2 linked regions of the Caenorhabditis elegans genome follow. The protein of the gene in region 1 interacts with the protein of each later gene in a pairwise test. Each region holds a gene or a part of one and is shown in the gene's direction. Other genes may lie near its edges.

Region 1 (6,090 bases):
CAAAAGTTGAAACTTACAGTAAACATTCATATATTTAATATATGTATAACTAATTCCTTGATGCACTAATACTGGAGATGCACTTCCTTCGTCTTCCTTTTCAACCAACAGTGGCATAAACTTTTCGATACACGACATATCCACATCTCCGCGGTAATTCCTCGATATTACTACCTTTAAAAATAATTTTTAGGATGTTTTGTTTTGAGGTTCCATTCAATTTGATTGATATTTGACTGCTTTTCAGTATTTCTGTGCTTGTCTAAAAAAGTTTGCGCGTACAACGAAGCGCCGAATGTGCAGATGCACAGAATACTACGACAGTGAACTTTTTGAAAAACGAAGTGCTTCGCCGGAAATTTCCGTTCGATTTTTTCATTTTTCGTTGGTTTTCCTTCAAATTTACTGAATTTTTATTTTTTTACAACATTCATTTTGTTCTAAACAGTTATTTCTGTGCTAAATTCATATATTTAACTCGCCTGCCTATCAAAAAATCATTGTGAAACTCACATTTCCTTTGAGGTCCAAGATGAAGAGACCGGAAATCGACATGTCGATTTCTCTGGGTAATCCTGTAATTTAAAATTGTTCCAAAATGTTTTAATATATGTTTTAAAAGCGGTAAACGTGGAAATCTGAAACAATACGTCGAGAATGTGTGGAATAGTGAGCGCGTGAACTTTAAAATTACTCGAAATAGTTTTCACGGCGAAACATTTTGGAAATTTGTTTGTCTCGTTTGCTATTCGAAAAGTTGCAGAGTTGAAAACATGTAATTAAGATATATTTTCGGATTTTAAATATAAAATTCATGTCACTGTGTTATTAATAGAGTTGATCAAGTTTAAAAACAGCCTAAAAAATTAAAGTCGGGAGGAAAGTATTTTGAAATATGTTACTGAAAGGGAAGTTTCTTAATATACGTGTCATTGTATAAATTATTAGAAAAATCGTTTATTCAGACTTTTATAAAGTTTTAGATCAGATAATGACGCGTCATCTTGATGCCCCTTAAATCTAAAACATCTGGCAAAACGTGGAAGCCGTAATAGACTGTCGAGATGTGAGAGGGCTTTCTAGTGAAGCAGAGAAACGAACTGATAGTGGAGAGAAAAATTGGGAATGGATTGAAAATGGAAAAGAAAGGTGTGCGGGAAGAGATGGAGAATGGAATAGAAAGAGAGAACAAATATTGTATTGTATGCAGTCACCGAAAGAGGCGCACCGTCTATAGGTGTCCGCAAAACTATTCACTATCTGAGTCTCTTCGTTTTTCCTTATGCTTCATGATTCTCTTTAAATATCGTACTCTCTTCAATGTAGAGAATCTCTCTCTCATGATGATTTGCCATCGTGATCAGAATATTTATTGATTGAGTAATTGCATATTAGCAGAATATCTCTAAAAAAAGGAAATAGTTCATTAAAAAAATAATTTTTCGATTTTATGCACTTTCACACTTCACTAAATTCTAAGGGTAGAAGCTTTGTAATTATCCAAAAAGAAGGAATGTGATACAGCATTTTCGTAGCAACGAAGAGAAGGTCCCGGTTGCTAGGCTAGAAGCTGAGCGGATTATCCGGATTGAGAGGGAAACAAGGAATTGTGAGAACCTGTAATTATAGCACATATAATTGAGTTTTTTTCTGCTGCGAGTTCTAAAAAATTAAAATCTAAGTGAATTTATTTGATCAATTAAAACAAAAATTATCTCTTTGTGCTCTTTTTTGAATTTTCTAATCAAAATATTCAAACTGTTTAGAAAAATTACAGAATGGTGCTGAACGATTCGTTTTCGGCACTTTTCTCGTCTCCCGCTTCACTCAAAAAGGCGAATGACAGTTTCAATGAATCCTTCGGTGATAAGGTATTTAATATGCCCACATAAATAAAAAATTAACTTTATTTTCAGAATACTCTCTCTCCATCCACAATTTTCCGAAGTCTTCAAAAAGAGCATGATCAGATTTCATCAGTTTTGCGATCGCATCCACCAACAACGGCTCAATATCAAAATTCACTGAACGAGTGGGTTTTTAATTAGCCTTAATTTTATATTTATTTTGCTTTTCAGATTGGTTTCTCTCTACGAACGGGCCGAAGATCAGTCAACATTCGGATTACAGAAGCTCGTTCTCTCAGTTTTTCTGAAACTCGCCGCAAACATTCTCAGTGTGCTCGGAAAGGTTAGCACTGAAGAAAAAACTTCAAACTTCTTCAAATAAATAAATAAAAACCAGTTTTCTTTGTTTAAATCTCATAATTTCAGCCAAATCACCAACCGACACTCTACAAGTTATCCCAACTTCTCGCTTCATCGATTGTTCCCGATTTGAGTCCTGAACATGAAATCGAGGAGATACATATGCAGCAGTGGGCTGATCGAGTTGTTATTGGTGAGAATTTTAAATAAAATGTATTAAAATAAATTATTAAATAATTTCAGAGTGCTCAATTCATCTTGCCAAGTTTACAAACTACAGAATCGACCTTGCTTTTGTAATATTTTCAGATTTATTCGTCTAATTTTCAAGTGAATAAGCTGTCTTTTTTTCAGAACATTGACAGTATCGTTGATGATTTGGTGTTAGCTAGCGGTCGATTTCAGTTCGTAAAATCTTCGATTTTCGAGTAAGAATTTCAAAAGAATTCTGCAATTTTCTTGCATTCTTCAGAGCTGCCCGTGATATTGTATCAAGTGAACAAATGGACCTCAACGCGATAATCACTCCAGAATCGAAATTCAGTTTATCAAATCTTGGCGATGAGCAGACGCTGAGGCTTCTTCTGTGGCTTTATTTATTTCAGAAATCAATGTTGAAAAGTGAATTTCTTTCATCGCTTTTCTCAAATCTTCCATCAACTTTGAATGCACAGGAGTATATGAAAAGTGCAGAATGCTCAATGTTGGATGTCAAAGTGAGTGATAAAATTCAATATTTCTTCTAAAACTCAAAATAATTTTTCATTTTTTCAGCTTTACATCGTAACATTATCTACAGTTGCCTCAACTACAACAGAATCTGGAATGACAATGAAATCAGCTCCAGTTGTTGCTTCACAATTATCTCTCACGAAGCGTCAGAAAGATTGTTGGAAAGCAATTGTTGATGCTTGTGCTGGGTTTGTTCTTTTCTTTGATTTCAAATTCTCACCGGTCCGAAGGCATTCCAGAAAAACCGTCGCTGCTCTTTCACGCCTTCGCACTTCACAACTCGTCGAGGCGGTTCGTTTAATTTCAGACTCATCGGAAGATGTTCAAGTATTGTTCGAAGCGTGGAAGCACTGTCTTCAACCATCAGCTGCTCACGATGATAATGTTCATGAGGCAATTCAAGTTGTCACTGAAAAATATAGAACCAAAATCAATAGTCTTCTTTGTTATGGGTAAGATTAAAAAATGAAATTACTCTGAAATTACGTTTTAATATTTCAGCCCGTTCTACTCAACAGCTCCAGTATCTTCCATGAAGCAAAGTACAGTAACCCGTCGAGATATGAAAGCTCTCTTTCCATTGCCATTTGACTATGAATACATTAATACAACTGAATCCGAACATATAGGAACTATCATCAATAGTCTGTAAGTTGGAAATAATAAGGAAATCTAGATCGAAGAAAAATAGTTTGTTGGTTTTCTGCAATGAAATTTCTTTAAAAAATGTTTTTGGTGGCCCAAAGTTTTGAAAAAAAAAACCAAAAGTTGCGAAAATCTGAAGTTTCGCAGTTTTTAATTGAATCTAAAAATTTCCAGTATTGGATGTCTGTCGACTGAAAATATTCAAAAAAGAGTGCTAATTCAATTTTGGCGGAATTTCAGATTTTAACAAATAAAAAATCCAAAACCTCTACTCCTTCAAATGGAATATTATTATTTATTTTTCAGTGAAGGATATTCAAATGTGGAAGCATCAGAAGAAGCAGAAGAAGACGATGAAGATATTTTGTGTGCATCAAATGATTTTTCATTTCGTGATGAAGACATATTCCATAGCTTTGATACTGCTCCTGATAACTTATCATCTGCTGACAATTCAATGTTTTTTTCTCCACTAAAACATAATCGTGATTCAATGCTTCCTTCAGCAGTTTCACAGTTGATTCGTGATGAATCGATTCTAAATTCATCTCATATTTCAACAAAATCTGTGATTTTGACTCCAACACGTGCATCTTATATTCCTGGAACTGTTCAAACTTCAGAACTCTCTTTTGAACGTAAGTTGCGAACTCTTGGAATAAAATATAACTTATCCAATTTCTAGGTCATCAAAATGTCGCCATAAGTACTCCATCGAAAAAGGAATCATTCGACTCTTCTGATGAAGATGAAGAAGATGATGAAATGGAAGCAGCACTTTTAAAATCTGCACAACGTCATGAGAAGAGCATTTTGGCTCAAAAAACCCCTGAAAAACTGGCTCCAAAAGTTGCAACTCCAATGAAAGACGCTCAAACTGAGACCGATGATGCGGTTTTATCATCTGGAGAAAGCAGTGTTGTTACTGTAAAATACACTCCGAAAATGGATGTTCAGAAGAAAAAAGTAGAAATTCCCGTGATATCATCGGAATCAGAAGAAGAAGAATATGAAGAGGAAGATGAATATGAGGAATATGAAGACGATGAAGATGAGGATGAATATTATGAGGAAGAAGAGGAAAATGAAGTGGAAGATGATGATTTCTTGACTGAAACACAACTGGAAGAACTCATGGAACAAATTATTTTGCAGACTTCTGTCATGTTCAGAGATCAGCGTATGAAGAAGTTTGGGCTTGAAAAGGAAATGGTTAGTACTATTTTTCAGATCATTTCCCGCTGTTTATTCATTTTTCAAACTAAAATTTGATAATTTACAGATAAAATTCGACGGTGCAACTGACGAGGAAATCCTTCTCCAAGCTGAGCAAAAACTGGCAAAGTAAAATTTTAATTTGAATAAAGCCCACTATGTTTCAATTTTCAGAATTACTGAAACTCTGAAGACCACTTCGAATAAACTTCAGAACTTTTGTACTCCGAGTAGTGAGTTGTACAATTTCAATTTTTATCTATATATTTTTTTCAGGTTCAAGTGTGAAAACTCATCAGCCTCTTCAAGCTATGCCATCGGCTGTTTCTAAACTAGAGAAATCAGTGGACCATGATTCGAAAAAGTGCCTTGGCTGTCAGGTTACTATTCCAAAAATTAAATTAATAAATAAAATATTTTCAGAGTGATGAAGTACAAGAAGCTGCTCTTCGTCGCCTCGAGCAAATGGCCAATGATTGGGATGCTGAAGGAAATGATTATTTGTACAAGTGAAATCTCTCTTCTTGATCTATTATATTTAAATACCTCCCCGTTTATTCTTATCTAGTTTATTTCGAATATTTATTTATTTATTCGGTTTTTATTATTCCTATGCCCTGTTCTTTTCTTGTTTGAATTATCTCCACTAAATATTTACCATTCATCAGGCGTTTCTTACTATAAATTCGACAAAGATGTGCTTTGAAAAGTTTCATAATTTCTAAACAGACATAACAAATAACAAAACAACAAAGATTTCAAGAACAGAAAGTGGTAAACGATGAAAAATTAACAACGCGTGGATATTTTTTTTAAAAACTTGATATAGAAATCAACGGCGTCCACCAGACGAGAAGCGCTTCTTCTTTTTGGCATTTTTATTCGCCGGATCTTTTGCATCAGGAATTGCGGCTTGGATAGCAGTTCTGTAAAATTTTATTTCAATTTCTGAACAATACGTGTTGAAAACTGACCGTTTGCTCTTAACGCTGACCAATTTGTTTGCATATTTCATATTAACAGATTCATAAGCTTCAGCCAACTCTTTCTCGTCCTGTATAATCTCATACTTTTGCAATTCGTTTCCAAGCTCAGCGAGCAGTGCTTTTCTGTCCCTATCGTGACGAGCACGAATCTCTTTGGCAGCCGACTCGAGCTCATCTTCCAAATTGGCAAGTGGCACAGCTTTCGGGAGACTTGATGTTGGCTTGTTCGCCGCAGATGCTTCAGCTTCTTTATCGAGATTTTCTCTGAAAGAAGGCAGATATTTAGTCATTTACGAATCGTATTT
Region 2 (6,738 bases), on another chromosome or scaffold:
GAAAATCAGAAATTCGAGCCCACGCTCCTCAATTTTAATGTCAAATAGACGAGTTGGCTCCGGAAATGTTCTAAGGTTTTTGAACCTAGTCGCTGGAAATTTTGAACAAGGTTCGGGGAAGAAAACAATAAATTTTGATAAAATGGTCCAAACTAACTGAACTAACTAAACTGAACTGTTTTTGCCAAGTTGGACAAAATTTCAAAAAACGGCAATCTCCAACTTTGTTGTTTGCAGCTCACTCTTGAGTTATAATGTTTTGCGGACAATTTGACACTTTTTTAAGAAATTGAAACAACTCCTATTTTTTTCTCAAGTTTTACAAATGTCTAATAAGGTATTAATTTAAAAAAAAAACTACTAAGGTTTGAAAATCTTAATGAAGAACTTTTTCCAGGGCTTTCCTCAGACCGTCAGATTCAAAGAATTCATAAATAATTGAGGAATTTCTTTCAATAAATAAAACGAATTGTAAATATATACAAATGACGTAAACGGTGCATATAAAATGGGAATAAAAAGATGGATGGATGTGTGTGTGTGTGTTGAGAAACGTAAATTTAATTATCACCGGACCACGCTGTAAGACGGACACCAAAAGAAAGAAATTGGGAATGGCTCTTCTCTTTTCTTCTAAATATAAATTGTAGCAGGAGTTGAAGCAAGATGTTGAAGGAAATAGAGCAAAATTAAAAAGTTCTTGTGTTTGGGTGTACCAGAGAAGATGACCAGTTCAATTGCTTGAATTAAAGTTTCAGGGTCGAAGGTTACTGAACGTCAGGCGGCTCTGCTCAAACATCAGAGTATAAACTTGTTTCTTGGAATAAATACGTGCACAAATATTTTCCAATTTTTTTCTAGGTAAATTTGTGGATCAACAATTCACAAGCAGTCCTTTCTAGACATGACCATCATTTAGAATATCCACGTTTGGGAACTTCGATAAGTGGATAGTGTTCAAAAAAGTGGAGTAATGCCTAGTCTGCGAAGTTTTGGCTTATGAAAAGATATTGGTTCAGAGTTAGTGGGGAGATACGGCTGGGGGTACTGAGTAGTACTGTAGAAGTACTGTATGGTTGCTGTAGGATTACTGTAGTTTGGGCAAAATTGAGTTTTTGTCTTTTTAAGGAATTTTGGGATTGTATGTTGGTGGGGGATAATGAAAGCGCTTAAAATTTGATACCAGTCCCCGAAGACACACAAAAAGTTTATTTTAGGTCAGATATTAATTTTTGAAATTATGAAAACTAAATAAATCTCCCAATAAAAAATGCGGTCGTTTATATGCCTCAAGGTCAGTTTTTTTTATTGAACTGGAAGCTTCTGGCTTCAGAAAAATTTTGTAATTAAATTCTGAAAGCGCTTAAAATTTGAAAGAAGTCCCCGAAGAAACATTTTTAAAAAAGTTAATTTTAAGTCAGATATTGATTTTTGAAATTATGAAAACTAAATAAATTACCCAATAAAAATGCGGTCATTTGTATACATGATGGTAAGTTTTCTTGATTGAACTGGAAGCTTCTGGCACCTAGAAAAATTTTGTAATTAATTTCTGAAAGCGCTTAAAAGTTTCCGCAAATTCTTGTTGATCTGCCAAAAAGTCAAGCTAGAGGTATCTAGATTCACTCTCGTTAATATTAAAGTATCAGTAATATTTTTGGAACAGTTGGTTTTTCGATCGAAACCAACAATAATACTGTTCCAATAATCAAAATCTTTTCATTTTTCAACACCACACTATACCCTTCCATATCTTTTTTGATTTGTATTCGACACTACATCGTACCCTACTTGTCTTATTTTCCTTATCAAATTGACCATTTTCTCTGCCATCGCCCGCACTCACGTTTTCTCAACACATTCCCGATTGGAGATCTTTTTTTTCTGAACTCAAAATTTTCAGAATGACCATCAAAGCGGTAATTTTTGACATGGGAGGAGTTATCCTCCCAGCACCAATGCACTATTGGAAATGTAAGTTTTCATGGAAAAATTATTTGAATTTTCAGATATGCCATTTTATTGCTAGGTTCTGTTAATCAAAATATTTGTTCAAGAATACAATAATTTGAAAAAAATTCTATCACTGAAATTTCAGCCATCGAAAAAACTCACAATCTTCGTGATGGTTCAGTGGTCGAAACAATCATCAGTAAAGATTTCTACCCACATTTCAAACTTTTTGAAACCGGACGGTTGACTTCGGAGGATCTCGATCCACTTTTCACTCATATTTACAATTTTCAGGTTTACAATTTTTTTTTTCTAAAACTGCATTTTTTTAAGCCTGAACCTTGATTTTCAGAATAATCGAGTTGGAGACATTTTGCCAATTTTTGTAGAGGTTAGCAGTCAAATCCAACACACTCCACTTCTCCCGGAGATGGTTGAGCTTATCAAGGTTTGATTTTCATTTTGGCATAACATGGTTCTCCAGACACATCTGTTCATTTCCAGTCTCTTCGTCTTGCCGGCTACCGTACCATCCTCATTACCAACAATTTTTATACGGATCGTGCTAGACTTTTGCCAACAGTTCCATCGCAAGTTGGACTTTTGTTTGATGATGTTCTCGAGTCTTGCCGTCTTGGTCTCCGTAAACCTGACACTAAAATTTATGAATTGGCGCTGGAAAGAAGCAAGGTAGCATTATCACATTTACAAATCTTTCAACTTTTTCGTTTAGCTTCACCCATCCGACTGTGTTTTCCTCGATGATCTGGGGTCAAATCTGAAATCCGCCAAAGAAATGGGAATCACTACAATTAAAGTTGTTAGCAGCCAGCAAGCAATTCATGATCTAGGAAATATTCTCAAGTTGAACTTCTCCTACCCACCGGAAACACGGGATTGCATTCCAAGTAATTAATTTTTATTTCTTTATATCTAACATAAATATTAGTTGCTTCTCTCTTTTTGGCTTTTTTCATAGTTTGCTCATCGTATTTAATTTTAGGAGAAGTTCTCCCAATTGAAAAGATCAATGAATTGATTACCAGAAGAACTGGGACTGATAACAAAGTTGAAACAATCCGCAAATTCCGTCATGGACAGTCAAACCCAACATATTACATCCGAACAGTAAGAGGGTCTCAGTATGTTCTTAGAAAGAAACCAAGTGGAAGTCTTCTACCAAAAGCTCATCAAGTGGATCGAGAGTTCAAAATAATGAATGCTCTTCAGGGACTTGTTCCTCTCCCGAAAACACTTTTGTACGATGAAACGTTAGTTTTGCCAACTTTAAAATTCTAAGCTACAATACATTATTTTTTTAGAACCCTTGACACTTCATTTTATCTTATGGAATATCAAAAAGGAAGAATATTCCTGAAACCATCACTTCCAGAATTGACTCCACCAGAAAGACGTCGTGTGTATGAAGAAGCACTGAAGACGTTAGCAACAATTCATTCGGTTGATTATGAAAAAGTTGGATTACAGGACTTTGGAAGAACAGGTATATTTTAACAATTACATATTATTTTTAGAAAATTCGATTTTTTTTTTCCAAAAATATCAATTAAAGAAGGAAAATTTCCGATTTTTCGTTTTTTAAGCAAAAATCTAAATTGGAAAATTTTTCGTTTTACACTTTTCAAAAAGACTTGAAAAACTGACACCTGTGCATTTTGAAAATTTGATTAAAAAAATACGTTCATTTTGATTAGCATTTCATCAAAATATTTTCAGATGGGTACATGGCCCGTAATCTGAAACGATGGTCAGACTCCTATCAAATGGCGAAAACTGAAGAAATTCAAGAAATGATAAAACTCGAAGCGTACCTAAAAGCAAATCTGCCAAAAAGTGGAAAATCGACTATAGTTCATGGGGATTTCCGTGTGGACAATTTGATTATCGAAGAGAATGAGATCAAAGTGAAAGGAGTTCTCGATTGGGAACTCTCAACAATTGGAGATCCGCTTTCAGATCTTGCAACATTTTTATTTGTATACTATGTTCCAAATAGAATGATACTTCTACCAGGGCTCGGAGATTACAGTGAATCTGATCTTCATAGAATGGGCATTCCAACCATCAAAGAGTGTTTGGAACTTTATGCAAAATACACAAACACGGAAGTTGTTGATCCAGAGCTATGGACTTACTACATGGCGTTTGTTATTTTCCGATTTGCAAGCATTATTCAAGGAGTTTATAAAAGATCTCAGTTGAAGAATGCATCTTCAACTGAAGCTTCTCAGTTGGGACCACTTGTTAGAAAGCTGGCTGCTGAAGGAATGCAAATGATTTCAAAAGTTCATGCATCAAAATCTTACGGTCAACTTACAATTATTCCATCAGGAATGTCTTTGAAAGCTCAAAAATATTACGAAATCGTTCGAGAAATTATACAAAATGATGTGATTCCGTTGGAACAAGAGCTCTTGGAGTATTATGAAGAAGGACCTCACAGATGGACAATTCCTCATCCGAAAATTGAAAAGCTGAAGGAGAAATCAAAATCATTGGGTGCATGGAACCTGTTCATTTCTGAACACATTGATCCTGAACAAAAATACGGAAAAGGCCTGACAAACGTAGAGTATGCACACATCTGTGAGCTTATGGGAAGAAGCATTTTTGCACCAGAAGTATTTAACTGTCAAGCTCCAGATACGGGAAATATGGAAGTTCTCATCAAGTATGGAAGTGAAGAACAAAAGAGCAAGTGGCTCACTCCATTATTGAACGGAGAGATTAAGAGTTGCTTTGCGATGACTGAGCCTGATGTCGCGAGTAGTGATGCCACAAATATCCAGGTAAGGCTTTGGAGCTTTTCAAGCAGGGTCGCGATCGGAAATTTCCGGCAATCGGCAACTTCGGCAATTCCCGGTTCTGGAAATTTTCGGCAATCGGCAATTTCGGCAATATTGCCGGTTTTAGAAATTTTCGGCAATCAGCAATTCTAGCAATTGCCGAAATTGCCAAAAATTCGATTGCCGAACGGCAATTACCGCGCACTCCGGTTTTCAAGTCAGCTTTCTGGCAAAAGGTGCCACCAGTAAGTTGCTAAGATTTTGCCAAGAGTTACCAAGATGTACAATCAGATGTACTTTTTTTGAAGTATGTAAAAGTAGCTACCAAATGTTAAATTATCAGCGTGGATTTCTTGCAAAAAAACTTGGCAACTTGATAAAGAAGGTTTAAAGATGCCTACATGTTGTTGCCACCGTAAAAATTCTAAATTATGCCAGCAAACTTCCAAAATATTTTATTTATTTTTACAGGGTTCCATCGTCCGTGTCGGCAATGAGTACATCATAAATGCCAGAAAATGGTTCATCTCGAATGCTTCACATCCAAAATGTCGAATCGCCATTTTTATGGGACAAGTTTCTGGGGCAAAGCGTTCAAGAAATTTGCAACAATCAATGATTTTAGTGCCAATGCAGACGGAGGGTGTTAAAATTATCAGAAACACTCATGTTTTTGGATCACAGGATGCTCCAGGAGGACATCCAGAGATCACATTCACAAATGTTCGTGTACCAGTTGGGAATATGCTTTTGGGAGAGGGAAAAGGTTTTGAAATCGCGCAGGGAAGACTTGGGCCAGGAAGAATTCATCATGCAATGAGACTTATTGGGCATGCGGAACGGGCAATTGATGTTATAAAAGATAGGTTATTGACAAGAATTGCATTTGGAAGGAAGCTGGTCCAATTTGACAGTTTACGAAAAGAATTGGCTCTTTCAAGATGTGAAGTTGAGCAAGCCAGATTATTAGTATTGAAAGCCGCCCATATGATTGATACAGTTGGACCAAAGGTTTGAACTGAAATATTTATTTTTTTCATTTAAATGTTTTCATTTTAGGAAGCAAAATCTGAAATCGCCATGATCAAAGTTGTTGCTCCAAACATGGCAATAAGCATCCTGGACAGAGCCATGCAGCAGCAAGGAGCTCGAGGACTTACTCCATTTACACCATTGGCTTCCTTTTATGTATGGGCAAGATCTCTTCGAATTGCTGATGGACCAGATGCTGTACACTTGGAGACTATTGCAAAGATTGAGATGAAATCGAGATTGTAAACCTTTGTTTGAATTTGTATTGAAATTGTTTTATAAAGTGTCGTTGTAGTTTTAACTTGTGAATAAATCAAACAAATTTCAATTTTGAAAACTTATTATTGACAAAAATAATTTACAAAGTTTCAATGTCTTATTCTTTCCCAGAAAAGAAAATATTTAGTTTCTTTAAAACAGCCCAATTTTCCTATTATTTTGCATGAAATTTTGCCGCCTTTTCAATTTTCATGTAACAGCTCAAAAAGTCTACATTGTTCAACAAAATACAAGCATGCTAGCCGGCAAATCAGAAAATTTGACCTTTCAAAATTGCCGAAATTGTCGAATTGATACACAGTTTTTATTTCCTAATCGTATATTGTATTTCAAGTGTAAATTTTTAAAATATCATTCTCAAAGTCTCAATATTTATCTTAAAATTTATTCATATTTACAATTCAATGCAATTCAACAATTGAAACTGTCATGTGGAAAATACAATTACTCGTAATAAATATTATAAACGAATGCAATTAATAATAAATTTGATTCGACTCCGGAACAAGAGCTCCAAGGCATGGTGCAACATAATCAGGAACCATATCATCTCTTTCGTTCATTTGATTTTCAATGATATCTTCAATTTGATGACATCCAGATAAAACTAACAAAGTCTTCATTCCGTGATCTCTTCCGAATTTGACATCTGTGTTGGTTCTGAAAT

The links.
Region 2: the proteins of F55A12.5 (region 1) and acds-10 interact in a two-hybrid assay, tested with the Caenorhabditis elegans proteins (one large-scale study listed by BioGRID).

What each region holds. Positions count from the first base shown.
Region 1 is NC_003279.8:5,344,150-5,350,239, forward strand, and holds F55A12.5 (Telomere_reg-2 domain-containing protein), read left to right. Parts: upstream 1-1,777; 5' UTR 1,778-1,778; coding exon 1,779-1,871; intron 1,872-1,916; coding exon 1,917-2,032; intron 2,033-2,078; coding exon 2,079-2,190; intron 2,191-2,273; coding exon 2,274-2,400; intron 2,401-2,450; coding exon 2,451-2,503; intron 2,504-2,561; coding exon 2,562-2,635; intron 2,636-2,679; coding exon 2,680-2,923; intron 2,924-2,981; coding exon 2,982-3,127; intron 3,128-3,169; coding exon 3,170-3,391; intron 3,392-3,440; coding exon 3,441-3,587; intron 3,588-3,890; coding exon 3,891-4,222; intron 4,223-4,269; coding exon 4,270-4,796; intron 4,797-4,866; coding exon 4,867-4,928; intron 4,929-4,973; coding exon 4,974-5,032; intron 5,033-5,075; coding exon 5,076-5,179; intron 5,180-5,222; coding exon 5,223-5,312; 3' UTR 5,313-5,508; downstream 5,509-6,090. Other genes in the region: apm-1 (MHD domain-containing protein), read right to left, coding at 18-174, 514-555; nath-10 (RNA cytidine acetyltransferase), read right to left, coding at 5,632-5,725, 5,774-6,049.
Region 2 is NC_003283.11:5,745,916-5,752,653, forward strand, and holds acds-10 (Acyl-CoA dehydrogenase family member 11), read left to right. Parts: upstream 1-1,903; 5' UTR 1,904-1,904; coding exon 1,905-1,974; intron 1,975-2,098; coding exon 2,099-2,247; intron 2,248-2,305; coding exon 2,306-2,401; intron 2,402-2,457; coding exon 2,458-2,643; intron 2,644-2,686; coding exon 2,687-2,861; intron 2,862-2,956; coding exon 2,957-3,224; intron 3,225-3,275; coding exon 3,276-3,457; intron 3,458-3,690; coding exon 3,691-4,763; intron 4,764-5,231; coding exon 5,232-5,771; intron 5,772-5,819; coding exon 5,820-6,038; 3' UTR 6,039-6,118; downstream 6,119-6,738. Other genes in the region: pgph-1 (Phosphoglycolate phosphatase), read right to left, coding at 6,548-6,731.